3 linked regions of the Lonchura striata genome follow. The protein of the gene in region 3 interacts with the protein of the main gene of each other region in a pairwise test. Links are inferred from orthologs where the notes say so. Each region holds a gene or a part of one and is shown on either strand. Other genes may lie near its edges.

Region 1 (9,722 bases), on a different chromosome or scaffold from region 3:
CGGAACTCGATGAGGCCCTGCGCGGGCAGCGCGATGGTCTGGCCGCTCTGCAGCCCGGGCGGGCCGCCCGCGAAGCCGCCCGGGCCGCCGGGGCCGCGGTTCACGGTCTGGCGGATGCGCAGGAAGCGCCCGCGCTGGTTCTCCTTCAGGTCCAGGTAGTACTTGCGGTTCTCCCGCACCAGGAACTCGCTCTTGAGGGCGCGGCGGGGCCCGGCGCCGTCCTCGCCCGGCGGCCCCGCGGCCTGCGCCAGCTGCTCGGGGCTGGACGGGCCCAGCTGCGCGTAGTGCTCGATGAAGTCGCCCAGGTAGTCGCGGAACTCGGCGGCCACGGCCATGGAGAGCGTCAGGCGGCTCTTGGAGCCGCCCGCGCCCACCTCGGCGATCTTGAGGAAGCGGCCCTTGGCGTTCTGCTTCACGTCCAGGTAGAAGCGCTTGTTCTGGATGTCCAGCCGCTTGGACGCCAGCTCCTGCGTCTCCTGCTCGGGGCCGGCCGCGCCGCCGCCGCCGGGCCCCGCGGCCGGGCCGGCCCCCCCCGCCCCGCCGCGGGCGGTCCCGAACCCGCCGCCGCCGCCGCCGCCGCGCTCGCTGCCGCTGTCCCCGTCCGCCATCTTGTCCGCCCGCCCCGCGCGCCGCCCGCTTCCGGCCCCGCTGCGACACCGCTGACGTCACCGCCGCACCGCCGCCGTCACGTGCGCCGGCGGCCCCGCCCGCCGCGTCCCCGCGCGCCCCCGGCGAAGCTCCGCCCACCCAGCGCTGGCCCCGCCCCGCAGCCCCCTCCCCTCCAATCCCGTCCCTCCGAGTCCCGCCCCCAGCTGTCGGTCATCATCGCCACGCCTCCCATTGGTCTCCGGGCCCGGGCCCCGCCCCGCAGCCCCCTCCCCTCCATTGGGCGCAGAGCTCGGCTGTCAGTCACGGCCACGGCTGGCTCCGATTGGCCAATGCGGCCCGGGGCCCCTTCACTGCGCGCAATTCCCGCCCTTCGCTGCTGTCAGTCACAGCCTCCCGCCGCCCCCATTGGCCAGCGGCGCTCAGGCTCCGCCCCCTCCAGCCGGGGATGCATGACGTCATGGCCATGCAGCGTGACGTCATCCATGACGTCACAGCTGGCCCGCAGCGCTGGGGCCGCAGGTCGGACAGGCGACGTCAGCCCCGAGCCCCCAGCGGGCCCACGGGGCAGAACCGGGAGAGCGCCCGAGGGAGCCCGGGGGGGACCACCCTGAAAGGACACCTGAGAACCTCTGGGGATCTCCTGAGGCCACCTGGGATCACCTGAGAACCTCTGGGGATCTCCTGAGGCCACCTGGGATCACCTGAGAACCTCTGGGGATCTCCTGAGGCCACCTGGGATCACCTGAGAACCTCTGGGGATCTCCTGAGGCCACCTGGGATCACCTGAGAACCTCTGGGGATCTCCTGGGAGCATCTGGGGAACTCCTGAGAACCTCTGGGGATCTCCTGGGAGCATCTGGGGAACTCCTGAGAACCTCTGGGGATCTCCTCGGAGCCTCCAGGGAATTCCTGAGGCCACTTGGGATCTCCTGTAGCCATTTGGGACCTCTTGGGAGCCTTTGGGCACCTCCTGTATCCACTTGGGACCTCCTGGGACCAACCCACCCCCTCAGTGCCCAGGGGCTCCTTTTGGGGCTGGGGACACCCAAAGGGGACAAAGCAGCATCGGGACCCACTGGGGGCTTTTCCCACCCAGCCCCAGAGCAGAGGCACAGTCAGACGGGGTCCCCCCACCCCAAATCCCACTCCCAGGCCGTGGTGTCCCCCCAGACCCCCACGTCCCCCCCTGGTCACGGTGACACCACCACGGCCCCATCCCCCAGCACAGACAGAGGCAGCTCTCCACACAAACTCTTTATAGGGGGACCCCGGGAGGGGACCCCTGCCCCTCAGCAGGGATCAGATGGTGGGGGGGGTCCCTCGTGGGGATCGGTTTTTGGGGCGGGGTCCCTCATGGGGATCGGTTTTTGGGGCGGGGTCCCTCGTGGGGATCTGTTTGTGGGGCGGGGTCCCTCGTGGGGATCTGTTTGTGGGGCGGGGTCCCTCGTGGGGATCCGTTTGTGGGGCGGGGTCCCTCGTGGGGATCCGTTTTTGGGGCGGGGTCCCTCGTGGGGATCCGTTTGTGGGGCGGGGTCCCTCATGGGGATCGGTTTTTGGGGCGGGGTCCCTCAGTGGGGCAGCTCGTGCGGGATCAGTTTGTAGTGGGCGCCACAGGAGGGGCAGCGCTGGGCCTCGCCCTTGTGCAGCCAGAACCAAACCACGTAGCTGTTGTCCTCCTCACCTGGGGACACAGGGACGGCGTGGGACACACGGACAGGGGACACAGGGACAGGGTGGGATGGGGACAGGTTTAGAGGGACGGGACAAGCACAGAAGGGGATGGACAAACGGACGAGGGACAGGAACGGACACGCGGACAGCCTGGACAGGCACGGGTGGGAGGAGAGACGCACGGACAGGAAAAGGACAGAGACACAGACAGACGGGCCGTGCACACCGGCAGGAGAAGGACAGACGCATGCACACACGGGGACGGACAGACGGCCACAGGGATGGGCACAGGGACACAGGACGGACAGATGGACATGGGGATGGATGGACACAAGGCCATAGGGATGGACCCACAGACAGGACAGACACACGGACGCGGGGCCGGGGGCACTCACAGACGCAGCCCACGATGCGCCTGTTGGTGATGGAGGGCACGAGGTTCGGGTCCTCCCTGGTGCCCGCGTAGCGCTTGGGCCGGAACATGCTGTAGGGGTCCTGCGGGCAGGGGCACCCCGGGCGCTGAGCACCCCCTGACCCTAAACCCAGCACCCCCAGAGCCCAAACCCAGCCCCCAGACCCCAAACCCAGCCCCCTGACCCCAAACCCAGCACCCCCAGAGCCCAAACCCAGCACCACCAGAGCCCCCAGCCCTCAAACCCAGCACCCCCTGACCCCAAACCCAGCACCCCCAGAGCCCAAACCCAGCACCCCCAGAGCCCAAATGCAGCACCCCCTGACCCCAAACCCAGCACCCCCTGACCCCAAACCCAGCACCACCAGAGCCCCCAGCCCCCAAACCAAGCACCTCCAGGACCCCAAACCGAGCACCACCAGAGCCCCCAGCCCTCAAACCCAGCACCACCAGAGCCCCCAGCCCTCAAACCCAGCACCACCAGACTCCAAACCCAGCCCCCAGACCCCAACCCGAGCACCCCCAGCCCCCTGTGGCCACACTCCCCAGCCCCCCAGAGCTGGCACACCCCTCCAGGTGACCCCGCCACCCCCCACCCCGGGACCCCCAGATCTTCTCCCCCTGACCCCCTCCCCACCACGGGCACCCCGAAACAAGCCCGGAACGCCCCGCGGCTCCCCCAAGGGGAGCTCCCTGCTCCCCTCCGCCGCTCTGCGCCCCTCCGGGGCCGGCCGAACCCCGGAACCGCCCCGGAGCCCCCGGCAACCCCCGGCACTCACCAGACCCTTGTTCATGGCCTCCATCACCTTCCGCTCCATGCCGGTCGCCTGCTCCTCATCGCTGGCCAGGTTCCCTGCGGGGCGCGGTCACACCGGGCGCACACACCGCGCCCGCGCCCTCCGCTCCATCCCCGTTCCTCCCGCTCCATCCCCGCTTCCCCCGCTCCATCCCCGTTCCCCCCGTTCCCCCCGCTCCATCCCCGCTCCATCCCCGTTCCCCCCGCTCCATCCCCGTTCCCCCCGCTCCATCCCCGTTCCCCCCGCTCCGCCCGTTCCCCCCGCCCCGCCCGCTCCATCCCCGTTCCCCCCGCTCCGCCCGTTCCCCCCGCCCCGCCCGCTCCATCCCCGTTCCCCCCGCTCCCCCCGTTCCCCCCGCTCCCCCCGCTCCATCCCCGTTCCCCCCGTTCCCCCCGCTCCCCCCGCTCCGCCCGCTCCCCGCTCACCGGGCACGCCGAGGCTGCGGGCGGGCGCGGCGCGGGCGGACGCCGCGGGCAGCAGCCGCAGGGCCGCGCTCACCCGCAGTAACCTTGAGGCCATGGCGGCGACACCGCGGCACTTCCGGCACCGGCGGAAGCGGAAGTGCGGCGGGCGGGGCGGCGGGCGCGGGAAGGAGCGGGGCGGCGGCCCGGCCCCGCCCACAGCCGCGGAGCCCCGCCCCCGGCCCCGGCCCGTGTGAGGCCACGCCCTCCGTGACCACGCCCCGTGGTGGCCCCGCCCCCAGAGCGGCCCCGGGGGTCACGGGGGGGGTGCTGAGATTTTGGGTGGGAGATCGGAGCCGGGGGCACCGGGACACACCGGGGGGACACACCGGGGACACACCGGGGGACAGGGACACACCGGGGGACACACCGGGGGGACACACCGGTGGGACAGGGACACACCGGGGGGACACACCGGGGACAGGGACACACCGGGGACAGGGACACACCGGGGATAGAGACACACGGGGCGACAGGGACACACCGGGGGGACACACCGGGGACAGGGACACACCGGGGATAGAGACACACGGGGCGACAGGGACACACCGGGGACAGGGACACACCGGGGGGACAGGGACACACCGGGGGACAGGGACAGCTCCAGGGGGACAGGGATACCGGGGGGACAGGGACACACCGGGGGGACACACCGGGGATGGGGACACACCGGGGGGACCGGGACACACCGGGGGGACAGGGACACACCGGGGACAGGGACACACCGGGGACAGGGACACACCGGGGGGACAGGGACACACCGGGGGGACAGGGACACACCGGGGACAGGGACACACCGGGGACAGGGACACACCGGGGACAGGGCCGGTGTCCCCAGGCCGAGGGGACACGCACAGCGGTCCGGGGACAGCCCCGGGAGAGCGGGGACAGCCCCTCCGCCCTCCGTGCCTCAGTTTCCCCTGCCGTCGCTGCTTACTCATCGCCATCGATCCCATCGATCCCACCGGGGCGGGGCGGGCTGGGTGGGCTGGGGGGGACACGCCAAACAACCTTTTCCCCCCCAATTCTGAGGCCGGCCCGGGTTCGCCCCTCCCGGCTGCGCCCCCAGCGCCCGGGGGTGCTGCGGGCAGCGGGGGAGCGCCCCCCGAAAAAAACGAACCCCAAACCCCCAAACTTTCTTTGGAAGTGGAAATAAAACCTCGGGAAGCCGCCCGGGGGGGCCGGGGGTGGGCGAGTGCCAAGGGAGGAGGAGGAGGAGGAGGAGGCGGCAGGACGGGACGCGGGCACGGGCAGCAGCCGCCCGCGCTCCCGCAGCACCGGCAGCGCCCCGCAGGTTTGGGGGGACCCCCGGACCCCCCAGAAAAAGCGGCCATGGGCATCCAGGGCATGGAGCTGTGCGCCGTGGCCGTGGTCATCCTCCTCTTCATCGCCGTGCTGAAGCAGTTCGGCATCCTGGAGCCCATCTCCGTGGAAGGTACCCCCCCCCCGGCCTCAATTAACGCCAATTAGTGAGTTAATGGAGTGATCGCCCCCGCCGCGGCCGTCCCCGGGCGGCAGGACCGGGGATCCCCCCGGGAGGGTCTGGGGGAAGGCGGAGGATTTGGGGGGCACGGGAAGGGCCCCCAGCCCCCCCCGGCCCAGCCGTGCTCCGGCCGTGGGGACCCCCACCCCAAAACAGCCGGGGATGGAGACCCCACCCCAAATATCCAGAGGATGGAGACCCCACCCCAAACACCTGGACATGGGGACCTCCACCCCAAATATCTGGGGATGGGGACCCCCACCCCAGAGACCACCCCAAAGCAGCCGGGGATGGGACCCCCATCCCAAATATCCAGGATGGGAACCCCCACCCCGGAGCCCCCCCTGCGCCCCGTTAACCCCCCGGAGCAGGTAACGGGACCCCCAGTGACCCCCAAAGCCGCTGGGATTGACACCAGGGACCCCCACTGCCCCCCGGGCCCCCCGAGACTCCTCACACCCCGAGCTGGGGATTCCCCCCTCCGACAGCGCCGGGAGCGTTCCGGGCCCCAGTCCCAAAAGTGCTGACACCCCCTGCGCCCAGCGGCCCCGAGGGGCTTCCCGGGCTCAAATTATTCATGAAGCATCATTTATTAATTACCTTCCGCCGGGCCGGGCGGCAGCGGCGGCGGCCGAGAGGCGGCTGGGGACGTTCGGTGCCTCGGGAATGCGGGAAAAGCCCCGGGCACGGCAGCCGCGCGTTCGGGGTCCCGGGGGTCCCGGGGCCGCGGGGGTGGGGCGCTGGGGGCGGCTTTGGGGTGTCGGGGTGTTCCTAGGGGGGAGTCTTTGCCCGGGATGGGTTTTTGGGGTCTCTAAGGGGGTCTTTGCCCGGGATGGGTTTGGGGGGTCTCTAAGGGGGTCTTTGCCCGGGGCGGGTTTGGGGGGTCTCTAAGGGGGTCTTTGCCCGGGGCGGGTTTGGGGGGTCTCTAAGGGGATCTCTTTGCCCGGGATGGGTTTGGGGGGTCTCTAAGGGGGTCTTTGCCCAGGATGGGTTTGGGGGGTCTCTAAGGGGGTCTCTTTGCCCGGGATGGGTTTGGGGGGTCTCTAAGGGGGTCTGTTTGCCCGGGGCGGGTTTGGGGGGTCTCTAAGGGGGTCTTTGCCCAGGATGGGTTTGGGGGGTCTCTAAGGGGGTCTCTTTTCCCGGGATGGGTTTTTGGGGTCTCTAAGGGGGTCTTTGCCCGGGGTCCCCCGCAGACAGCGGCGATGCCGACGTGGAGCTCCCGAGCGCCCGGCACCAGCCCGAGGGGCTGGAGCGGCTGCTGGCCCGCACCAAGTTCAGCAAGGCCGAGCTCCAGTCCCTCTACCGCGGCTTCAAGAACGTGAGCGCGGGGATCCGGGCCCGGCCCCCCAAATCCGGGCTCCCCGCGATCCTCGGGGTCACCGGCGCCGCTCCCCCCGCCAGGAGTGTCCCAGCGGCCTCGTGGATGAGGAAACCTTCACGCTCATCTACTCGCGGTTCTTCCCTCAAGGCGGTGAGTCGGGGGTCCCCGCGCCCCGGGGGGCTGCCCGGGCAGTGCCCGGCCCGGTGCCGGGGCTCGGTCACCGTCCCCACCCGGTGCCGGGGGTCGGTCACCGTCCCCACCCGGTGCCGGGGCTCGGTCACCGTCCCCACCCGGTGCCGGGGCTCGGTCACCGTCCCCGCCCGGTACCGGGGGTCGGTCACCGTCCCCGCCCGGTGCCGGGGGTCGGTCACCGTACCCGCCCGGTGCCGGGGCTCGGTCACCGTCCCCGCCCGGTGCCGGGGTCACCGTCCCCGCCCGGTGCCGGGGTCACCGTCCCCGCCCGGTGCCGGGGGTCGGTCACCGTCCCCGCCCGGTGCCGGGGGTCGGTCACCGTCCCTGCCCGCAGACGCCAGCTCCTACGCCCACTTCTTGTTCGACGCCTTCGACGCGGACCGCAACGGGGCTCTGTGCTTCCAGGTGGGAATTCCTGGCGGGAATGGCCGCGCCAGCAGCGTGATTCATCACATCCTCCCCTCCTCCTCCTCCTCCTCTCCCCTCCCAGGCCGTGGCCGGGTGCGGGGTAAAAATACCGGGATCAATGGGGATGAAATCCCTGGGGCGGCCGGGATCGATCGCGGGAGAGAGGGAGGGAGGGACGGAGGCAGGGAGGGAGGGAGGGAGGCCGGGGGACGGTCCCGCTCCCTCCACGGTCTCTCCGCCAGGATTTCGCCGTGGGGCTCTCGGTGCTGCTGCGGGGGACGGAGCAGCAGAAGCTGAAGTGGACGTTTGACCTCTACGACGTGAACAAGGACGGCCACATCAGCAAGGAGGTGACACTGGGGGACACTGGGGGGCTGGCAGGGCGGGGACAGCCGGGCGGGGACCTGCCAGCGCCCTGTGTCCCGCAGGACATGCTGGAGATCATGAAGTCCATCTATGCCATGATGGGCCGCTGCACCGAGCCCGCGCTGGGTGCCAGCGCGCCGGCCCAGCACGTGGAGCTCTTCTTCCAGGTGAGACTGTCCCCGGCCACCTCCGGGCCACCTCCGGGCCACCTCCGGGCCACCCTGCGGCCAGGAGCGCCCCGCTGAGCCCTGGCTGCTCCCTTGCAGAAGATGGACAGGAACAGGGACGGCGTGGTGACCTTCGAGGAGTTCCTGGCCACGTGCCAGGAGGTGAGGGGCTCTGGGGGGCTTCATCCTCCTCCTCCTCCTCCTCCTCCTCCTCCGTGTTCTGTCCCGAAAGGACGCTGGGAGGGATGGCAGAGGAGGGCCAGGAGGAGAGGCACGGGAGCTGGGGCTGGCAGAAGGATTTGAGGGGTGCTGGGGATGGGAGGGGAGATGGCAAAGGGTGACAAGAGGAGGGGGACGCGGGGTCTCTGGTCTCTCCTCCCCAGGACAAGGACATCATGAGCTCCATGCAGATCTTCCACAACGTGCTCTAGACCCTGCTCCCCCCGGAGCTTTCCTACTGTTCCAGGCAAACAAGAAGTTCAAAGGCAGGAGAAATCCAGCGTGTGGCTCCCGGAGATGGGACAGGACAAGGACCAGGACAAGGACCAGGACAAGGACGACGTTGCCACCAGAGCCCCCCGGGCACGGAGCTGCCCCCTGCCAGACAGACCCATTTTGGGGGGGCTGAGCCTCCCCTCGACACCGACCCCCCCCGGCGGTGCGGGGACCTGGCACGGCACAAACCGCGGGGCGGGGACCCCCGGGACGTGGGGACCCCCGGGTGTGGGGTCTCCCTGTGGCAGCCGTGGAACGGAGCCCCCGCAGGGAACGGAAAGCTCAGCCCCGCCCGCAGCAACGTGGGGAGGGGATTTTATAAATAAACCGAATGGGGACGATTTGGGGTGAAACGGAGTCAAGAGGGGTGCGCGGTGTCCCGCTCCCTGTCCCTGCCCGTGGCTCAGTCCCGGTCCCGCTCCCTCTCCTGCTCCCAGTCCCAGTTCGGTTCCCGTTCCCGGTCCCATTCCCGGTCCCAGTTCGGTTCCCGGTCCCGGTTCCAGTCCTGGTCCCGTTCCCAGTCCCGGTTCCCGGTCCCGTTCCCGTTCCTGGTCCCGTTCCCATTCGCAGTCCCGTTCCCATCCCCGTTCCCGGTCCCAGTTCGGTTCCCGGTCCCGTTCCCGGTCCCAGTTCGGTTCCCGGTCCCGGTTCCAGTCCTGGTCCCGTTCCCAGTCCCGGTTCCCGTTCCCGTTCCTGGTCCCGTTCCCATTCGCAGTCCCGTTCCCATCCCCGTTCCCGGTCCCAGTTCGGTTCCCGTTCCCGGTCCCATTCCCGGTCCCAGTTCGGTTCCCGGTCCCGGTTCCAGTCCTGGTCCCGTTCCCAGTCCCGGTTCCCGGTCCCGTTCCCGTTCCTGGTCCCGTTCCCATTCGCAGTCCCGTTCCCATCCCCGTCCCCGGTTCCAGTTCGGTTCCCGGTCCCGGTTCCAGTCCCGGTTCCCGTTCCCATCCCCGTTCCCGGTCCCAGTTCGGTTCCCGGTCCCGGTTCCAGTCCCGGTTCCCGTTCCCATCCCCGTTCCCGGTCCCAGTTCGGTTCCCGGTCCCGGGGCCCCGCCCCTCAGCCCTCGCCTCTCATTGGCTCTCATTGAAAATTTGGCCCCGCCCCCCGCGCCATCCCATTGGGCAGCCCGAAGGGGGCGGGGTCTCGGTGCCGCGACCTTCAGGCGGGCGGGGGCGGCACGTGACGTGACACGTGACGGGCGGTACCGGCCCGCAGCGCCCCCTGGCGGAGCGGGGCAGCAGCAGCCGTGAGAGACCCCCGGGATGGGGGGGGCCGGGACCGGGGAGTGACCGGGAACGGGGAATTACCGGGATAGGGGAATGAACGGGATAGGGGAATGACCG
Region 2 (9,970 bases), on a different chromosome or scaffold from region 3:
TTATAGCATAACTTTGCTTCTTGCATGTGAAGACTGGCCAGTCTTTTGTATGTGGTCAAGTTTTCTAGGTTGAAGCAGAGTAAATTATATTGAGATATAATGAAGAAACCTGGCTGTAATGTGCTTGTGTAGTTTTTTCCTTTTTTAATGCTAAAGGGAGAGGCAGCTAGGGTCTAATGTTTGTCTTGGGAAATAATGATGTATGAAACCTTTTCACAGTGAGATCCAGTGGTCTTGCAAGTCTTGAATGAAGTCTCCTGTTAATTCTGATTCTAAAATTGCTTTGTTTTCTTCTGTACATCATTGTGCTCTTCTGCAGGCCAAAACTGGGGGTAATGTCCAGAAGGATATCAGGTGTCATGCAATACATGTTTTCAGTAGAAAGCAGGACTAAAGAAGATCAGGGGTCTCAGAGCAAATTGTTAAGGCTTTTTGCATGCTAGGTTTGTACTTATCCTTCTGGTTTTCTGACAAGCAAAGCAGAGTAGATATGCAGCCCACAGATCTTTGAGGTAATTGAAAACATACTGGTCTGCCCACAAAAACTAGACTAACTTGTGTATGTGTAGCAAGACAGCTCATCCATTTAAAAAAGATCCTAAAAAAACAAACAAAAAAACCCATAAAAAATCCAACAACCCCAAAACACTAGAAGAGGCTCTTTTGGCCTTGGAGTAGAATCTAAGCAGAGCCACACTCTTGAGGTCTATAGCCTTCATAGTTCTGCTTTGGTTTTATTTTATGAGCGGATTATCCTGTCTAGACTCCTGCTTTGACTTGGATGCCAAAATAGAAGCAATAAAGCTAGCTGGCCGCTTAGCAGGTGACAAACTTTCTCTGAAGTCCCCTTAATTTGTTAGGGCCCATTTCTCAGTGCTGCCTCTCCTGACTTACTCCTCAGTAAGTTTTGCAAGTTTCAGATACAGCTCTGCTAAATTTAGCCTGCCAGATGCCTTCAATAAACCCAAGCTCAGCTATCAGTTACACAGAGATCTGTTTCAGGCAGGCACAGCCCTCTGGGGAGAGACTTGCACTATTTAAAGTTGAATGAGACTGAGATTCTTACAGCATTAAGAACGGTGAAATTCGCTCTTTTTCTCCCTGATGCTGTTTCTAAACTAGTGTTGGGCACTTGTTATTCCCAGAGAGTGAATTTACGTTTCCTGTTGAACTGTAGCTGGAAATTGGCTGCCTCTTGAGCTGTCATTCTATATAGCAGTTCTCTTTTGATATATGTTGAGAAGCAAAAGTCAGTCTTAACATAATTAGCCTATGTTACTTCCACCAGTATCAATGTAAGACATTGTAGGAAAAATAGACTGTTCAAATAATGGCACTGTAAGCTGCAGACAGAGCAATGCAACTGCAGCAGGACTAACTAGATTGCATTTGGTCCTACAAAATGTGTGAAGCTTTTTCTAGCCAGTGCCTGGAGGATCTTGGGACGCTGGTATGCAAGAGCAGGAGTGTTAATGCCAATGTTCTGGGCATGCATCCAGTTTCAGGAAGTGGTGCCTGTCACCTCACTGAAGTCACACTTCTGTTCAGATTTGGTGGATCACTCTTCACTTCCGCTCTTACATTGCTGGGCGGTGTTGCTGTGTACTTTTAACAGATAACAGCCTATGCACCAGCAACTGATTCCCTTTACTAGTGAATTCTCCAAGTGTTTTTTTTCCCAGTGACCAAGTCATGGAATGTAGCAGTTGTGAAAAATGCTGAATGTTTCTTGTGAAAATGTAGTCCTAGGATATGTCAGGAAAATGCTTCTGGTAGTGACATGAAAAACTTAGTGGCATTGGACAAGACAACAGTGTTTGGGGCTGCTGTAATTGGTTTTGGTTAGCCATGTTTAAGGAAAATCAACTTTAATCAGAAGGAATGTAAGGAAGAGCTAGTATGACAATAGTGGGAATTAAGAGCTAGTCTTACAGGAAAAGGCCAGGAGCTTGGCTTTAGTTAGAAGAAAGGTATGAAGAGATCATGATAACCCTCTGAAAAGGTCTGTGCAATGGTGCCCATGATCTCCAGGCAGCATAGAGGTACATTTGTGTACACTGGAATTGCTAACTGAGAATAATGGTAGCTTGGAAACAGCCTTACAATGGAAGACATTTAAGTAGCTTCAGAATGCTGGTGTTCCATTGAGGAGAGGGTATGGATTTGTTGAACACTGTAGAAGTAAAAGGCCTGACATGCTAAGCCAGGAGTCCCTCAATCCTCTGTGGTAAAAATAATTGCTTGGGATGGGGTGACTGGCTTGTCCCAGAAGCTTTGACATCTGAGATGGTACAATACAATAGTACTGTTGACTATTGCATCTTCCATGGAGTGCCATTTGAGCTGTGGGGTGCCAATAGTAAGTGCTGATCTTCTTAGGAATATTAGTGGCATCATAGAGTTCAATAATTTGTTATGGGAGGGCATGTCCCTTCTGGGCATTTTGGGTTCTTTATACATATTTATGTTCTCTCGTATGATAATTTGAGCTTGTAATTTAATTTTCTGTTTTGCCAACAGCAGAGGACAAGTGTTTCTGGTACACCTTCTGCTAAGCTGGAATGGACAGGGCTGGCCTAGTCAGACCTTAAGCTGACATAGTAAACTGAAGTTACTGATTTGGCTGGGACTTCACTTGAAGAAGCAGGACTAGCAGTAAACTGCTGTTAAAAGCAATCAACAACCCCCCCCAAGCTGCTTGCTTTACTTTGGTGAAAATAGGGGAGTGATAATTTTGAGTCCTTTGTTACAGGTGCTCTTGGCTATTTGGAGTAGTTTTTTCAGTCCTTAGGATCAAAGTGCAGGTTGTTCTATGAATGACAAAGTGTAACACAATATCTGTAGACTGTGTTCACAGATGTACTGGATAATCTACATCCCTGTGCTCCTCTTGCACTGTACTTCCAGTTTAAACTGAGGTGAACTGGCACTTCTGCTCAAGAACCGATTAGTTCTGCCTATGGCAACTTCTTTTCTCTTCTTCATTCTGGCAGAGGACTTGTGTGGTGAAGCCAGTCAGGGGACTGATATGGGTTAAAACTAAACTTTCCTTTTTTTGTCCAGGTTAGTTTTAATTAGTGTTAGTTCACCACATTGTTGCACAAATGTTTGTGCCAGCAAGAGGATGGAAATAAGTGGCTCAGGGACAGCAAGACCACTGCTTTTGGCAGCAGTGCCAGCTTTTCCATGATTTTACTCAAGGCCTCAGTGGCACTTTTGCCATGCTGTCCTCAGGCAAAACCATGAATTCTCATAATGTGGGTCTTCCTTTCCATGTTCTTACTTAATTTACGTATTAAATGGTTTTATGCATAATAGATGTGGTGCTGATTTAATCAGCTAGTGCCAAACATTAAAGTAATTAATGGTTTGAGTACAGGCTATTTAAACAGATATGTTTAAGGTATTGATTTATGCTTCCTGCAGTGTTTCTCAAACCTCTTTCATATTATTCTCCAGGGGAAGATACTGTCCCTGGTTTAATTCATGCAAGGACAAACCAGATAGTGACGGAGCATAGGAGACAAGCAGCAGGAGATGGCAGGAGGCAGCAGTGAATGTTGCAAGTGGTGAGAGATAGAGGGGGGAAAGTCCAGGGGCTTGAGGAAATGTGTCAGCAAATGCCTTTTAGCCAGCTACTAACAGAGCTCACCTCTGATGCCAGCCTCAGAGATGATGTCTTGGCTCAGCAGCTCCCAGCCTTAGACTCTGCTTCTGCATTTATTTATTTATTTGTTCTCTGTCTGAAACCTTATTGGTGAAGATCCATTTTCTGGCCATTTTCCCTTTCTTAGCCATCTTGTCCTGGCTGTCTGTGGTAATATATTTTTGTCCTGTTGCACTGTCGTAATAAATATTTCATAGTGACTATCTTCTAATGCCTGGTTTGTTTGATTAGTAACTAATTAATCTTTAAATAATATTAGAAAACACTGCCTGGTGATGGTCTGTGTCAGGGATTTTTGCTCCAAAGGAGACATGGTGTATAGCAACTGTTACGAGTTCATCATGCTAGCATTGCTGATCTACTGAAGCTTGGAACTACTGATACTTTTTTGTATCACCAAGGTTTATATTGTGTTATTCAGAGAAGTGGTCTAGGCTTTCATTAACTGAGTATGAATGTGAAGTTTGTCTCTTCCCTTGCTGACCTCCTGCGCTGCAGCTCATCTGACCTAGCTGGGCACTTGAGACCTGCTCCCTTTGATTCCTACTCTCATGCAGACTGCAGCAAAAGGGACTCTTCAGGCATCTTCTCCCTCCTAATACGAGATTACTGAGATGCTCTACTCCAGAAAAACTCTTTCATGGACACAAATATACCCAAGAACCCATATGCCACAGTTTTACTCCTGCCTTTTGTGAGGACAACGTAGCAGCACTGCTGGCTGGGATCAGAACTTGCCTTCTGTGAGCCTGAAGAAGCCCTGCTGTGCTAAGCTGAGCAGTTGTGCCACGCTGGGCATAAAACAAGTACTACAGTTTCTCCACCATCTCATAACTTTGATTGCATGTTTATTTACACTGGGAGTACTTCTGTAGTGAGAGAACATCATCTTTATTAGCTCGGGACTTATATTGTGTTGGAATATAATTCTCAAAGGGACTTGTGCAAATGGCCATACATGAAAGGAATCTTGAGAGCAAATGATATCTTTAATGCTGTTTGGGTAGAAAACAATCTGGTTGCCCATAATAATTCAGTAAAACAGGACTGATATGAACCAAGAACTGTGGGCTTTTCTAATTCCATGTGCACTGGCTTTCTACATATTTTGGTTATCATTTGGGAAAAGATTTTAATTATCTTGATCTTTTTATTTTTCATTCTTGTAGTCATTGTTGAAACTGCTTGCCCTTACCCAAGGGTAACTAATCTCTTTAATTTTATTTTTTTTTAAATGTTCTTCTGTGTGTATAGTATTTCTGTCAGGAAGTTAGTCTTAGAAAAGAGAGAAGCTTGGTCTGTTTCTTCTTAGTATAGTTCAGTGTATTTTAAGGTTATGGTTCTGCTTTCAGCAGGAAGAAAGTTTTCAGTGATGATCAAAGTAGATGCAGATATCACCTTGAGAAGGGCACACTTGCATATTAACACGCTTAATATATTTGTTGCATACAGTACTTTTGGTTTTTAGAGACAGATGTCTAGTAAGGACTTTATCTAAGTGTAGGCTTTATATTGAAAGGTGGTAAAATTGAGAATGTCTTTGAAGCATGGATAAGGACTTCATTTCCATGGTCTGTTCTAGCTTCTTGTTCCTCCCATATTTTCATTGGGGTTTTTAATTTTTTTTTCTTGTCATCTTGATGGTTAGAGGGGAAATGAGTGGGATAATGTTAAAGCTAATACTTCTGTAGAGATCCATGTTCTCCTGTCTCCCAGCCAGTAAAACCACAGATATACAATGGTACAATAGTGTTTAGTGTGGCCTGAGAAACTTCTGACTGTAGAGAACTGACTGAAACTAGATTAGGGACTTAAATCAGCCACCAGCATAAGACTTGATTGTATGGGTTGGATGTGGCAGTTCCAATATGTATTGAGCTGACTATTAGATGGGACAGTTCTCTAAGGATAAGCAAAATAATTGATCTTGGGTGTCCTTAAAAATGTTGCTGTATGTCAGATGTTAAGCATGTTTTGATTTGTTCCAGTAGCCGGATCGAGCTGGGAGATGTGACGCCACACAACATTAAGCAGCTGAAGAGGCTAAACCAGGTCATTTTTCCTGTCAGCTACAATGACAAATTCTACAAGGATGTACTGGAGGTTGGCGAACTTGCTAAACTAGGTACAAATGTTCTTGCCAGTAATTGTGGGCTGTGGTGGCAGAAGTGGTCACATTGCTATCCATAATGGTTTTGAATAGCTGCTCCTTCTATTTAGTTGTTTTACATCATGAAAAATAACTGTTTAAGAACCTCAAAGAAGCCACAGAGGGTCTGGATTCTAAATAGATTACGTCCCACTGGGAATAGCCATTTTTGCTGTTCCAGAAGAAAACAGTTGTGCATTGCCAACTTACCTTGTGATCTCATTGCTGGTTGGTGTGAACAGTGGTGAGCAACCACTGTGTCAAAGCAGCACTAGTTACTTCATTCCATGTGTGAATTCACAATGTATGTTATTTTATCTGGATGGGAGAATGAACGAGAGGGGAGGGAGGAGAATATAGGGTGTAAATGAAAGAGCTGTATGTGTAGTTTGAGACTTGTTACTGATAAACCTTTGTTTCCCTCTCTGGCAGCCTATTTCAATGATATTGCAGTGGGAGCAGTGTGCTGTAGGGTGGATCACTCCCAGAACCAGAAGAGACTGTACATCATGACACTTGGATGCCTGGCACCCTACCGAAGGCTAGGAATAGGTAAGGAGGGTCTTTTTTTTTTTTTTATCTGAGGCACCAAAGAAACCAGGTTGCTGTCTAGCTTTCTAAATGCTCTTTCAGATTTTTAACCAAGTTAGTGCACTCTAGACTATGGATTTTCTTTGGAAGGGACTTGGGGGAAAGAGTATGATTTATCATGTGCTCATTCTTCCCTACCTTTCAGAAATGAACCTTCTGTAGAAAATTTTACTTCAGGATTTCAGATTATTTTAATCATATTATCATACTGTTATGTAAATACTCTGCTTCTGTGGATGTGAAAATTGTTGCAGAGAGAGATGAAATAATTTGTCAGAGATATGTAGATAGTATGCAAGTCACACATAAGTAGAGCACCACATTCCTTCATTGGCTTCTCTCTTCACTCCTCTAAATGTAGGGGCTTTATATTTATTTTGTCTTTATCACTACTGATTATTGCTGCTCAGGGGTAGCACCTGCTTTTTGTCTATATTGCATTTAGTTCTTTGCTCCACATTGCAAAGCCATAGGACAGATTAATCATGACCTGCAGTAACCTGTTTACCTTGACAAACTGGATTGAAAAGATAATTTTGTTTTAAATTATTTTACTAGGTCTATAGTAGAAAAAGCTTACCAGTTCCCTCACTGCTTTATACAATATTTCGGCTGTATTTTGAGCTGAGTTTGAGACCTTGAAACTATTAAAATAGCATTAAAATAAGCTGATTTATAAGTATGTTTCTGGTCTGTGACTTTTATTTCTTCTTCAAAGAAACAATTAAGTAAGGTTTATGAGCAATCTGAGACAGAATGAAATACCTACACATCATGCTTTATTTGCCTTTCCTAGTTTTCACACTCTATCATTTTAGTCTATCTACAATTAAACTGCCTCTCCTCAAGGAAGCACCTAGCTAAGTACAGACTAAATTGTGTCCTAGTTTTCTTAAGTATCTTTTTATCTTTTGGCAGGAACTAAAATGTTGAATCATGTCTTAAACATCTGTGAAAAAGATGGCACTTTTGACAACATCTATCTGTAAGTGAATGAGTTACACTCATGCATTTTTTGAGAAATTATAAAGGTAGATATGGGAACAAAGTGATGGAGATTCAAGTGTGGGTTTAGTGTATATTTTAGTGGGGTCATAGAATATCTTGTTAGTACTAGCAGGAAAGACTGGGGTCATATTCTGGGCTTGTTGTGTAATGCTGAGAAAACCAAAAGCTGCTTGATTTAGAAAGGGTTCTGCAAATTTGCTGAATTTGAAAGCAATTTAGTTACAAAATTATGTTCTAGAACAAAATTACATGGTAAGACCAAAAATCTTTTTTAGAAAGGATTTTATTTTTATCATACAAGGTCATCTTCAGAATGGAAAATACTGCAAGTCTTGGATGCAGTTTTGATGCATTTGTTTTCTGTCTTTTATGACAGCACTCTGTGGGTTAGAATATTAGAGATGTTTGCAAGCACTGAAAGTTTACTACATTCAGTAATAAGGCCCTACTGCTATTCTCATACTTGCACACTGCTAGGTCAGCTATTTGTTCAGCAGCACAATAAACTAGATGAGTGCCCTGACCCAGCTGGGGAAACTATTTTCAGTTTTGTTTCTGGGTGTTATTTTTCATTCTAGTATGTTTTTGGGGTTTGGGAGTGGTTTTCTTGTGCTTTGTTTTGGTTATTTTTAAAATCAACTGCATGTCTGTGAAAGCACTTGGCATGATGCAGGCAAGAGAGCAAGCACTGGGGTAGAGGGCAGTGCCAGTATTCCCCTGGAAAGGGAGTCTGAAATCCATAAATGTCAAAATTATGCTTTTCCTTTGCTGCTGGTTTCACACTTGTGCTTTTTGCTGTGCATTGGTGTCTGTGTGGTTACCAAGTGAGCTGATGGCAGTTTTTGTCTTGATCCCTTCTCTGAGCCAGCTCCTTCTTGTCTGTCACTGCCTTGGCCATCACACCAGTGCCAGCATGGTGCACTGCTAGGGATAGGCCCACGGCAGGTACAGCTTGGATGGACATTCACTGCCGCAGAACTACATCCTGAATACTTGCCAGACCTGTGGAAGATGCTTTGTGAGGAGTGTTTCATACACTGGTATCACTGTAAATGGAGTGACTTTCTCCTCAAACTCTCCTGCTTCTGCCATGGAGGTGCAGACTCTTCCATGTCCTTTGCTGTTGTTGCTTTGTGCCATCTCTGTAAGAGGAGTGTGTTTTAAAGAGGTGTCTGAGTAAAGTTACTCTTGGCTTGTACTCCTTCCTGCCCTCCTGCCTCAGGATAAGTGTTAATTAACTCTCTTTGAGATGCCTGCATAATGGGACAGGGGCTTTCCTTTTTACTTTTGCATTTTACTGTGTGCACAGTGAAGGAACTGCTTGCTGATTCTAACCCTGCCCCAAATCCTTCATAATCCTTCTTTACGGTTCCTAGACCAAGGATTCTGGCATGACAATTAATAGCCCCCAAAATTGTGCTAAAGTTCTTTTAGTGGCCCATTGATTTTATTACTATGTCTATTACTTGTGCATCTTCTATTTGAACATATTAGGCAGTTTAGTACCAAATTTGATTTCACTGCCTAAATTTGTCATTACAATAAAGTTTAGCTTTTAGCTTTTTGCTGCTTATTTGGTTTAACACTAAGATCTTTTATTTTGTTCTGCTGTTGCTTCCACAGTTACTTTGGTTCTGTGGTTATGCAGTGTGTTGTCATGACAAAGTGATTCATGAAGTTGTGAAGTGTCTGCTGAACTTTGGGAGTGTCTAATGAATGCCTTTTGTTAATCCAAACATTTTTATTTCTTTTTTCTCTTTCTTATTTTTGGTTTGTTTTTTTTTTTTTTTTTTTAATAAGTGAAATTTGTGCAGATAAATATCCTAGTCACATAGGATAAAGAACTGACAGCTGTTTGTTTTGGAGACCTTGAGATGTGCTAGCAAAATTTGTAAAACTCCAGGGGAAGTAAATATGAGGGAAATGGACTTTGCAAACCATAGGACTGTTTTGTATTACAGCTTTTTGTAGGAGACAGAAGTGGTTGGAGTAGAGCAAGGTGTTAAAATCATATCAAACACCATTGCCAGTTGTATGTTACAGTGTGTCGGGATCATCGCTGAGACAACTCTTCTGGTCATCTGCAAAGTGTTACTACAGGAGGTTAAAGTTGTCTTTACAGTGAAACTCTGTTACATATTTCCACTAAATATCTGCCATACTGCTTTATCAATATGAAGAAAAATTGAAATTACAGAGGTAGTAATGCTTCAGAGTCTTTCTGTTATCTTGTGTTCCTTGAAAGTTTTACTGAGGGGAAACATTTACTTCTATTGACAGCCATGGGCCATCCAGGAGCTGAGTGTTAGCCCAGAATTGGGAAACCAACATTTCCAGTCTTAGAGTTACACCACTGTTCCTTCTCTATCTAGAGAGCTGATTTTCTTGTCTTTGACATTTCTGAGTATGGAGGCAGTGTACTGACCCCTTTCTCTCTGTGCCCTTTTCTGTCCCAGGCACGTCCAGATCAGCAACGAATCTGCAATTGACTTCTACAGAAAGTTTGGCTTTGAGATCATTGAGACGAAGAAGAACTACTACAAGAGGATAGAGCC
Region 3 (9,686 bases):
GCTCCTCCCGACCGGGAGATCCCGGGCACGGCTCCTCCCGAGCCGGCCCAACGTAGCAGCTCGAGTTACAGGAAGGGCACAGGTTAATTTATTTATTAGATGAACGCCATGGAAAGCTCCAAGCAGCAGCTACCTTTTATTTGTTAAAAAAATACCTATCTAAAAGTAAAGGTGTGGAGAGAAACCTCTCTTAGGTCTGCCTGACCTGTGTGTGACCAGGCAGTGACTGCTGCCCTGCTCCTCCTGGTGACATTGCTGCCCCTGCAGTGACCAGTGCCCTGCTCCTCCTGTGCTCACAGTGGCATTGCCACCACCACACCACAGTGATGTTTCCCTGCTCCTGCTGTGCTCGTGGTGGCATTGCCACCACCACCAGTGACACTGCCCTGCTCCTGCTGTGCTCGTGGTGGCATTGCCACCACCACCCTGCCACGCTCGGGGTCACTGGGGCACCAGTCCAGCCAGATGAGCCAGCGGGGCCGTTGCCTCCAGAGCCGCTCAGGGAAGTACCATGGTTTATATTCACTTATTTTGTATTTGCAGACCCTAGAACCAGGTCTGCCCAATGGAATATTTCTTCACAGTTTTGCAATAGATTCGCAGCTGACCGAGTCAACTGTTGTTCTGTAGATGTGGAGAGGGAAGAAGGGAAGGGGCCAAGCACAAAACCCTTCTTTAATCTTTTGGAAGCAGTTGTCAATCGCTAACCTGGGCACATCCTTCATCCCTCTCCAAGCTACCTGACAAGTCAGAGAAAAGGGATTTAGCTTCCTACGCACAGTGAACCTTGTCCCCACACCTCAGTCCAGCCAATATATAAAAGTGAAACAGTCTCTCAAACTAAAAAAAAAACAGAAAAAAAAAAAAAAAGAAAAACCAGTCACACTGCGCTCAGTCTTTGGTTTCCAAGTTCAAAGGAGGAATCTGCTTCAAAGCTTGAAGCAGAGCCGAGGAGTCGATGGGGGAATGGGCCGGTACAGGAGAAGGGAGTCTCTGGGGCATCAGCAGAGGGGGGGAGATTTTGTCGGGGTTCATGAAGCCCGTCAGAGCTGCGGCAGAGGCCGGCAGGCTGGGGTACAGCACGGGGACCGAGGCCGGGTACCAGCACTTCTCCAGCATGGGCAGGTAGGCGGTGGCGGACGGCGGGATCAGGTAGAAAGGCAGGCACAGGGGAGGCTGGTGAGCGTGGGGGCCCAGGAAGCTGCTGGAAGAGCCCATCATGTCACTGCCAAAAGGGCCCTCGTCCTGCGGCAACTCCAGCCTGCTCCTTTTGGCCGGCGGGTCCTCAGTCTCTTGCTTAATAGAGCTTATTCTCTCCTGGACAGCGTACTTGAGGTCGGTATCCTTTTTGAAATAGGGCTGCTCCGCTTTGGAGTCGCTTTTCTCCAGCTCGCCCCCGTACCCGCTGTCCGTGTCCGTGTCGCTGCCGCTCTGCTCCCCGCTGGAGTGAGCGAATGTCCGCTGGATCACGGGCACGCAGTTCTTCCCGTGGCCCTCGCCCGCCGCGCCCAGCGGCGCCGGCTTCTCCTTCAAGTCCAGCATTTTGGGAGGGATGTCCCCGGCCTTGCGGGCGGCCCCGCCCTGCAGCACCTCGCTGGCCATCCGGTGCAGGTGGCTGACCAGCTGCGACGACTTCAGCTCCTTGCCGTTCTCGTGCTTTGCCAGGTATTGCAGCATTTCCTTGGCACACATCTGGAAACCGGATCGAAACATTTCCTGGCTGGAATCAAGGTTTCTCGATGACAGGTCACCTAAGGAAACATTAACAGAAAGAAATTAAAAATTAACAACATGCTAAATAGTTCCATTTCCAGCTCCGAGGCGGACCGGAGGCGACGCTGGACTTGGGTTACAGCACGGCCAGAGGGGAAAGCACTGGCCAAGCTGGAGTCTATGAACAGAAATCCCCAGATTTCTGCAGAAATGGACAATTCCATTGGAACATCCACCTGTCCGCTTTTACATAAAAAGTTCACGTAAAGTGCTGCCTGCTTTTTTTTTGTTATTTACTGTAAAATCCACCTTCAACAGGTACTGGAGTGCGGGGAGGGGAGTGAGTCAAGCTGTGGCTTCTCCAGGAAACCCCCGGGGAAGGCAGGGCACCTCGCCCTGCACCTCGGGGCAGGGAGCTCCCGGCCCTGCCAGCAGCTCCACCAGCCCCAGGGGACTCCACTGCTCCACTGCACTCCCTGTGGCTGCCGGGGCAGGGACGGCACCTCCCAAAAATTCGGGTTTACTGTGTCTGATTCACGTGAGAGCCACATGTGAAAACAGCAGGAGGAAGTGCATCTAAGGCTGATAAGCTGAAGCACCGGGTCCCCTCTGCCTGCAGAGCACAGGCCAGCTCGGTTATAAAGAAACTTAAAAAGCTTAAGGTTATTTGCTTTCTATACACACTTAAAAAGGTGTGTATAGAAAGCAGATTTATATCTATTTTCAGAGAAAAACAACCAAATAAACCAGACTGCGTCACAAGCACAAATGGGAAGAATCGAATGGCTTTGGAGAGAACCTCACTGCAAACCTGGGCTGCAACTAAAACTACTTAAAACCCAGTTTAATTTCAAACAACTCCCAGGGCACTCTGCATTGACCATCTTGAGCAATGCATCATTTTTTGTGAAAGCTCATGAGCAAAGCCTGAGAAAATGACAGCAGGAAAAGCCAGAATTCCTGTCCCCTCCCTTCTCGGTACCAGGGTGTCACAGGCACATTTCACAGGCTCCCCAGGGAAAGCCCATCACACACACACGGGCTCCCACCCTGCCGGCCGGACACTCACCCGCCTGCAAACCGCTCTGCAAAGCGATGATCTTCTGCTGCTGCTGCTCGATGAGATTGGTCAGTGCCTTCACGTGCTTCAGGGTGAGCTCCAGAACCACAGCCTTCTCCAGGTGCCCTAGAGTCTGGGAGCACAGGGACAGGTTGGCACCCGCCGCCGGCTCGGCCAGGCACGCAGGAGCCGCCGGTGCCTCCCCGGGAGCCGCGGGAGGACGGGCACGGTGAGACCCGGAGCAGGCGGGACTACCGCCGGCAGCATTGCACGGAAATAAGTTAAAAAGCCGGCTACGGAAAAGGCTCTCACGGAACCCTGTGGGTACTTTCGGACCAGCCGCATAGCCCGGAGAGAAGCGTTTTATTTCTGGGTCCTGCCGCCCCTGGCGTGACCGGGGCGGCCCGGCCGGGGACAGCTCTCGCCCGGTGTCGGGGGCGGTCCGGCGGGCAGCCGCAGCTCCCGGGGAAGTTTGGGACGCGCTTACAGCCTGCCCGGGCGTGCGGCACCACGGTGGAAAAAAAATAAAAAATAAAAAAAACCCCAAACCCAGCCCAAATCCGCGGTGAAGCGGCAGCAGAGCGCTGGGAGCTCCCCCCGTCCCTCCGCTCGCACCTACCGTCAGCTTGAGGTGCTCGGGCAGCAGGTCCTTCAGCTGCGCGATGCACTCGTTGATCCTGTCGCGCCTCTTCTTCTCGATCAGCCGGTGCGGCAGCTTGTAGGTCTCCTGCGGGGCCGGGGCAGCGGGTCAGCGGGGGGACAGCGGGGGGACAGCGGGGGGACAGCGGGGGGACAGCGGGGGACAGCGGGGGACAGCGGGGGGACAGCGGGGGGACAGCGGGGGGACAGCGGGGGGACAGCGGGGGACAGCGGGGGGACAGCGGGGGGACAGCGGGGGACAGCGGGGGGACAGCGGGGGACAGCGGGGGACAGCCCGGCCCGGCCCCGCTGCCGCCGCTCCTCCCGTCCCGAGCGCGCCGGGAGCGGCCGAGCCCCCGCCCCGGGAGCGCTGTCACCGGCCGACTCACCCCGTGAACCCCCAGTTTACCCCGTTAATCCCCAATTTACCTTCTCACCCCTCACTGTACCCCATCACCCCCCATTCACCTTGTTGTCCTCGCTCCTCTTTAAGCCCCTCCGGGGCTTGTACACCTGGTACATGTGCGCGAAGTCCAGCCTGCACGGGCGAAAGGAGAGCAGCGCGTTAGCCCCGCGCCGGAGCCGGCGGCGCCGCTCCCCCCGGAGCCCCCCGAGCCCCCGAGCCCCGCTTACCCGGGCAGGTCTCCGCTCTCCAGGGCGGGCAGCTTGCCCAGGCAGCCGGGCGGGGGCTGCGCGCCGGGGACGCGCTCCATGGCGGGGCCGCGGCGGAGCGGGCTCAGGGGCTGCGGGCGCCGCCGCCGCTGCTCATGCCGCGCCCGCGCCGCGCGGGCTGAGGAGCGGCGGGCGGCCGCGGGCCGGGTTAAATGCGGGCGGGTGGGTGGACGGGAGCGACGCGCGGAGCCCTGTGACCGCCGGCACGTCTGGCGGCCGCGCCCCCGCCGCCGTCACATGAGCCTCACGTGGCGCCGGGCGGGCCGGCTCCGCGCCCCCGCACGTGCGGCGCGGCGCGGCGGGGCCGGGCCGGGCCGGGCCGTGCTGTGCTGTGCCGTGCTGTGCCGGGCAGTGCCGGGCAGTGCCACCGCTGCACTGTGCTGTGCTGTGCTGTGCCATGCCGTGCCACCGCTGCACTGTGCTGTGCCAGCACCGTGCTGTGCCAGCGCCGTGCCGTGCCGTGCCGTGCCGTGCCGTGCCTTGCTGTGCCATACCAGGGCATACACTGCTATACTGTACTGTGCTATACCGTGCCATGCTGTGCCATACCATGCCATGCTACATACCATACCATACCATACCATACCATACCATACCACACCATACCATACCACACCATACCACACCATACCATACCATACCATACCATACCATACCATACCATACCATACCATACCATACCATACCACACCATACCACACCATACCATACCATACCATACCATACCATACCATACCATACCATACCATACCATACCATACCATACACTCCATACTGTGCCATACAATGCCATACCATGCCGTGCTATACCGTGCCATACTACGGTGTGCTATACCATGCTATACCGTGCCATGCTGTGCCATACCGTGCCATATATTGCCTTATGTGCTGTGCCATACCGTGTCATACCATACCATACCATACCATACCATACCATACCATACCATACCATACCATACCACACCACACCACACCACACCATACCATACACTCCATACTGTGCCATACAATGCCATACCATGCCGTGCTATACCGTGCCATGCTATGCTGTGCTATACCATGCCATACCATGCCATGCTGTGCCATACTATGCCATACACTCCATACCATCCCATACACTGCCATACCATGCTGTGCCATACCATGCCATACACTGCCATACCGTGCCATACTATACCATGCCATGCCGTGCCATGCTGTGCCATGCCGTGCCCTGCCATACCATGCTGTACCGCTGTTGTGTCCCGAGATCGGGGAGAAAGAAAAAAAAATAAAGGAAAAAAAAAAAAACAACAAAACACCCCCAAAGAGACACAGACACAAAACACGGACACAGAGAAAGCTGCAGCCACGGAAAGTTTGGAAATGTGGGGGAAGAAATAAAGTGAGAGTCGCTAAAATGTGGCTCTGGGGAAGTGGCAGTGCTGCAGGGAAGTTTTGGGGTGGGAGGACCCCATCGCTGGGGGTATCCAGGGCTCGCAGCAACTTGCTCCAGTGGAAGGCATCCATCCCTGCCCATGGCAGGGGGCTGGAACGAAGTGGGCTTTTACGTCCCTTCCAACCCAAACCATTCTGTGATTCTTTGACCAGCAGGAAATTCTCCCCTGTGAGGGTGGGGATGTGCTGGCACAGGTTCCCAGAGAAGCTGTGGCTGCCCCATCCCTGGAAGTGTTGCATGGAGCAACCTGGTCTAGTGGAAGGTGTCCCTGTGCATGGCAGGGCGTGGATGATGGTAACTTTAAGGTCCCCCCAGCCCAGACCCTTCCATGCCATGCCATGCCATGCCCGTGCCAGCCCCTGGACGCCAGCGGTTGCACAACGCCGAGCGATGACAATGGTTTGTGTGTACCTGCCAAGGCAGAGCTCTGCTGGAGGGCCGTGGTCACTTCCCTGCTGAGTGCTGAGCAAGTAGAGGCAGGCTTAGCTGATAAAAGGTGCATTTACCAAGATAAGGGAGCAGCAGAGCTCCAGCACTGAGCTGCTGCTACTGCCTGCAGAGTTCTGGCTGCTCCACCCTGGCAGGAATCCGAGGGCAGGAGGTGCTACATGACAGCACAGAGAGGTTTTAGATGGGTGATGGAGACAGGCTGTTTGAGGCTTACCCCCGCCCAAAGGTGTCTGTTGTTACCAGGAAGAATCCCAAGGGAAGTCAGAGCCTCAGAAAGATGCTAGCCATACATGCAAGGTCTATAAAACCCCCAAATCTCCCCTACAAGCTCCCAGCAGCACCTCCAGTGTGAACACCACAGCACTGGATCAGTGACGTGGGGCTTCCACAGAACAGATGTTTGGGTTGTCCCACTCAACATGGTCCTCCCAGCGTTTGACATCCCAGCCTGCAAACCCGGTGATTATGGCCAAGATCATGGAATCCCAGAATGGTTTGGCTTGGAAGGGACCTTAAAGACTTCTCAATCCAACCCCCTCCATGGGCAGGACCCTGAGGGTCTCTGTGGTGCCACAGCCCCGGCGCCGTGCAGGAGAGGAGCTGGGACTGAGCACGGAGCTCGGAGTGCCACAGAACCACAGCAGAGCTGTGACCTCCCACAGCAGAGCTGCTCTTTCCTGCAGGCACTGAACAAACTCGGCAAGAAGCATCAGGGGACATGAGGGTGATGGTTTCTCCCCTGCTGCAGCTCAGGGGACCAAAACCAGCCTCAGTATCGAGCCCTGGAGCAGAGGGTTTGCTCTCTCTGTGTCCCCAAGACCAAAGCTGTTCTTTTCCAAACAAAGAGTGAAAAAAACACAGGCAATTTTTCATCTGTCCCATCACTGACCCTTCATCCAAGGCAACAGAAATAATTAGAGCTTGCTACAGCCTTTTGCTAATGAAAAATGAGGTTTGGGGCCAACCTGCTCTGCATTCGAAGTTCAAGCTCCAAGAGTACGTGGACGGCTTCATGCCCGTGGATTGTCTGACTCCTGCATGCTCCTTCAGATATTCGGTACATTCCTGCAGTGGGTGGTGAGCCACAAATCAGGGTCAGAGGTAATCCCCAATTATTTAGCCCTTTTACTGTTCTCGTGCTTGCCAAACAATTCTCCATATCAGGATTTGCTCATGACCTTAAGGGACGTTGCCAAGGATTTAGGAGTCCCCCTAAAAAGGAGGATCCAAATGAAGTTATTGCATTCTTGGGCATCAAGTGAGATTGCTCGAGAGTTGAGTTACATTTTCCCGGGGATCAGTTTTCATGAGCAAGGACTGATGCAATCATCAATTCGCCTTCTCGCTTGTGTTTGCTGAATTATTTCTACATGGAGGGCTCCTTTACACCACACGATTCAGGCAGTACCAAAATGTTTAAAAAGGCTGAATTCCCTCAAGCCATCCGTGGAGCAGCAGCTCTCCTGAGCACTCCTCCAGCAGGGCTGGGAGTCACAGGACCGCGACAGCTCTGTCCAAGGGGATTTGCAGCTATTTACAGAGGCACGAGAAGGTGAGAGTCTGGGGGCTGGTTTGGGGGTGGGCTGGGAATCCGAGACTCAGGATCTGCCCCTTCCCCGGGACTGTCCCCTTCCGACCGCAGGGATTTGGGGGAAAACGTTCCAAAAATCCCTGGCACTGCTGTCTGATGGAAGCCTATGTGGGCAGCGCCGGGAGTTAACAGATGGGTTGTGGATTCGAGCTTACGATAAGGTTACTGAGGGTGGTTTTGTTTTAAAATGTCTCTTACTTAATATATCCATGAAGGCCAGGCATGTGCCTGTGGCCTGTAATCAAATCGCTGACTCTCCCCTCTCCCATTTCCAGCAATCCCGGCTCGGGTTACTGGCACCGGAGGTGAAAGCTCAGCCCCGCCGAGGCTGGAGCGGGATGCGCTCCGCCTCGGCATCCTCGGCCCCGGCAGGAACACCCCGTGCTTTCCGCAGCAGGAAAAGCCCAGCGGGAGCCAGGCTGGCTCCGGCAGAGCTGGAGCGGGGCTCTCTCCGTGCTCAGCAAACGGGACGGCTCCGCTGCGCTCCCGGGCCGGAGCGGAGGCTCCGGCGGGGACGGGCAGCGCCTCCATCCCCGAGGATGTGCGGGCAGTGGTCCTGCAGAGTGCGGGCAGGGGGGATGTGGCCAGGCAGCAGCTCCCAGGAGAGCCGCACCTCTCCTTTCCCAGCCCCGTGCCCGAGGCTGTGGCAGAGCCCACACCCCTGAGCCAAGGCCGGTCCCAAGGGACGCCGTGGGACCTCAGCGCAGGGCGTGAGGAGCAGCTTGACACCCACCAGGGCTCCGCCTCAGCCTCCTGGGAGTTGCAAAAGCCCGATTTGGTGTGAGGCCGGCTGGGTTCAGCTGTGTGAGACTCTCGATGGCGCAGCTGGCCGCGCTCGCTGCCGTGGGACCGTCACGAGTCAGAAGCCGAGATTGAACATTGCAAATACGCGCATCCATCGCTGCTTAATTGCACCGGTTTAGGCTGCCACGGGCTCTGCCTGGATAAAGCGCTGGGAAAACACAGCAGGAGCTGTTGTCTGTGCGCCCTCCCTCCGGCACGACCCTGGAGCGCTGCCGGGCACGTGAGAGCTGCGGGAATGACGCTGGCATCGCTCAGCGAAACTCGCCCGAGGACTATTCAAATGAAAGCCATTCCCCTCTTTGAGCTGCGATGTTTGCCAGCACCCAGTGCGGCAGTGGGAGGAACATGTAGGTGGAAACTATTTGGAAGTGGCAAAATGTGTGGCCATTAATAAGAGACTTTAGCCCACTTTGATAGCGTGTTTAATGAAACACGCCGGCTCCCCGGTGACACGCTGCCCTGCCAAGCCCCGGCAGCTCACGCTGTTTAACCAGTTCCCCCCCGGCTCTTGCACCATCTCGTGAGAAAGAACCCCGGGCGTGCACAGCCGGCACACCCCGGGGCTGCAGCGGCCTCAGCTCCGTCTGCACGCAGCCTAATCACGGAATCAGGGACCCGTGGAACGGGCTGCCTTGGAAGGGACCTTAAAGTTACCCAGTTCCACCCCTGCCGTGGGCAGGGACACCTCCCACCTGCCCGGGCTGCTCCCATCCAGCCTGGCCTTGGACAGTGCCAGGGATGGGGATCCACCACCCAGGAACCATTTCAGAGGTGACATCCTGGCTGCTGCAGGTGGGGCAGGGCACAGCGAGGTGTGACAGCAGGGTTTGGAGGATGAGGATGAGGAATCGCTTCTCCTCCCGCTGCTGGCGTTGTCTGGTGGATGCTCTGCACAATGGGATCTGATCACATCCCTCCTCCTGCCTCACATCAAACAGTGAGTCAGCGCTGGAGCCCCATCAGATGTCTCTGCCTCGCCTTTCATATCTGGGAAGCAGAGAGGATGGTGCTCTGTGAGTATGCAAAGCAAGGAAAGCAGGGTGCCTTCAGATCTGCCACTTGGAAAATACCATGTTATTTATTTTCCACTGGCACCCACGTACCCCGGCAGGAATCAACACCACTGAGGCTCCCAGTTGTTCTTTTGGGGGATGCAGGTAACAACAGCTACGGGGCCGAACTGCATCATGGCTGAGTCAAATATTAACATAGAGAATATTCTCCACTTGCTAATTGAGTCCAAAAAATTACACACCCACCCCTAAAAACAATAATAAAATAAAGCTGGGTCAGGCAGAAGAGCCCAGGAGTGTGTTCCT

Evidence for each region.
Region 1: the proteins of BHLHE40 (region 3) and COX5B interact in binary tests that used the Homo sapiens proteins (3 or more experiments, as listed by UniProt). The two-hybrid records come from large-scale screens. The link is inferred for Lonchura striata from reciprocal best matches to the Homo sapiens genes BHLHE40 and COX5B.
Region 2: the proteins of BHLHE40 (region 3) and NAA50 interact in binary tests that used the Homo sapiens proteins (3 or more experiments, as listed by UniProt). The two-hybrid records come from large-scale screens. The link is inferred for Lonchura striata from reciprocal best matches to the Homo sapiens genes BHLHE40 and NAA50.

What each region holds. Positions count from the first base shown.
Region 1 is NC_134634.1:5,221,157-5,230,878, forward strand, and holds COX5B (cytochrome c oxidase subunit 5B, mitochondrial), read right to left. Parts: upstream 4,041-9,722; 5' UTR 4,009-4,040; coding exon 3,915-4,008; intron 3,546-3,914; coding exon 3,472-3,545; intron 2,776-3,471; coding exon 2,676-2,775; intron 2,291-2,675; coding exon 2,178-2,290; 3' UTR 1,851-2,177; downstream 1-1,850. Other genes in the region: PURB (transcriptional regulator protein Pur-beta), read right to left, coding at 1-608; calsenilin, read left to right, coding at 5,283-5,385, 6,627-6,751, 6,835-6,904, 7,281-7,351, 7,597-7,704, 7,783-7,887, 7,987-8,049, 8,271-8,318. UniProt on the Homo sapiens protein: Component of the cytochrome c oxidase, the last enzyme in the mitochondrial electron transport chain which drives oxidative phosphorylation.
Region 2 is NC_134604.1:28,276,541-28,286,510, reverse strand, and holds the start of NAA50 (N-alpha-acetyltransferase 50), read left to right. Parts: upstream 1-5,620; coding exon 5,621-5,792; intron 5,793-6,248; coding exon 6,249-6,368; intron 6,369-7,325; coding exon 7,326-7,392; intron 7,393-9,871; coding exon 9,872-9,970. UniProt on the Homo sapiens protein: N-alpha-acetyltransferase that acetylates the N-terminus of proteins that retain their initiating methionine. Has a broad substrate specificity: able to acetylate the initiator methionine of most peptides, except for those with a proline in second position.
Region 3 is NC_134614.1:23,079,524-23,089,209, reverse strand, and holds the start of BHLHE40 (class E basic helix-loop-helix protein 40), read right to left. Parts: upstream 4,164-9,686; 5' UTR 4,126-4,163; coding exon 4,046-4,125; intron 3,951-4,045; coding exon 3,881-3,950; intron 3,501-3,880; coding exon 3,393-3,500; intron 2,907-3,392; coding exon 2,783-2,906; intron 1,752-2,782; coding exon 892-1,751; 3' UTR 1-891. UniProt on the Homo sapiens protein: Transcriptional repressor involved in the regulation of the circadian rhythm by negatively regulating the activity of the clock genes and clock-controlled genes.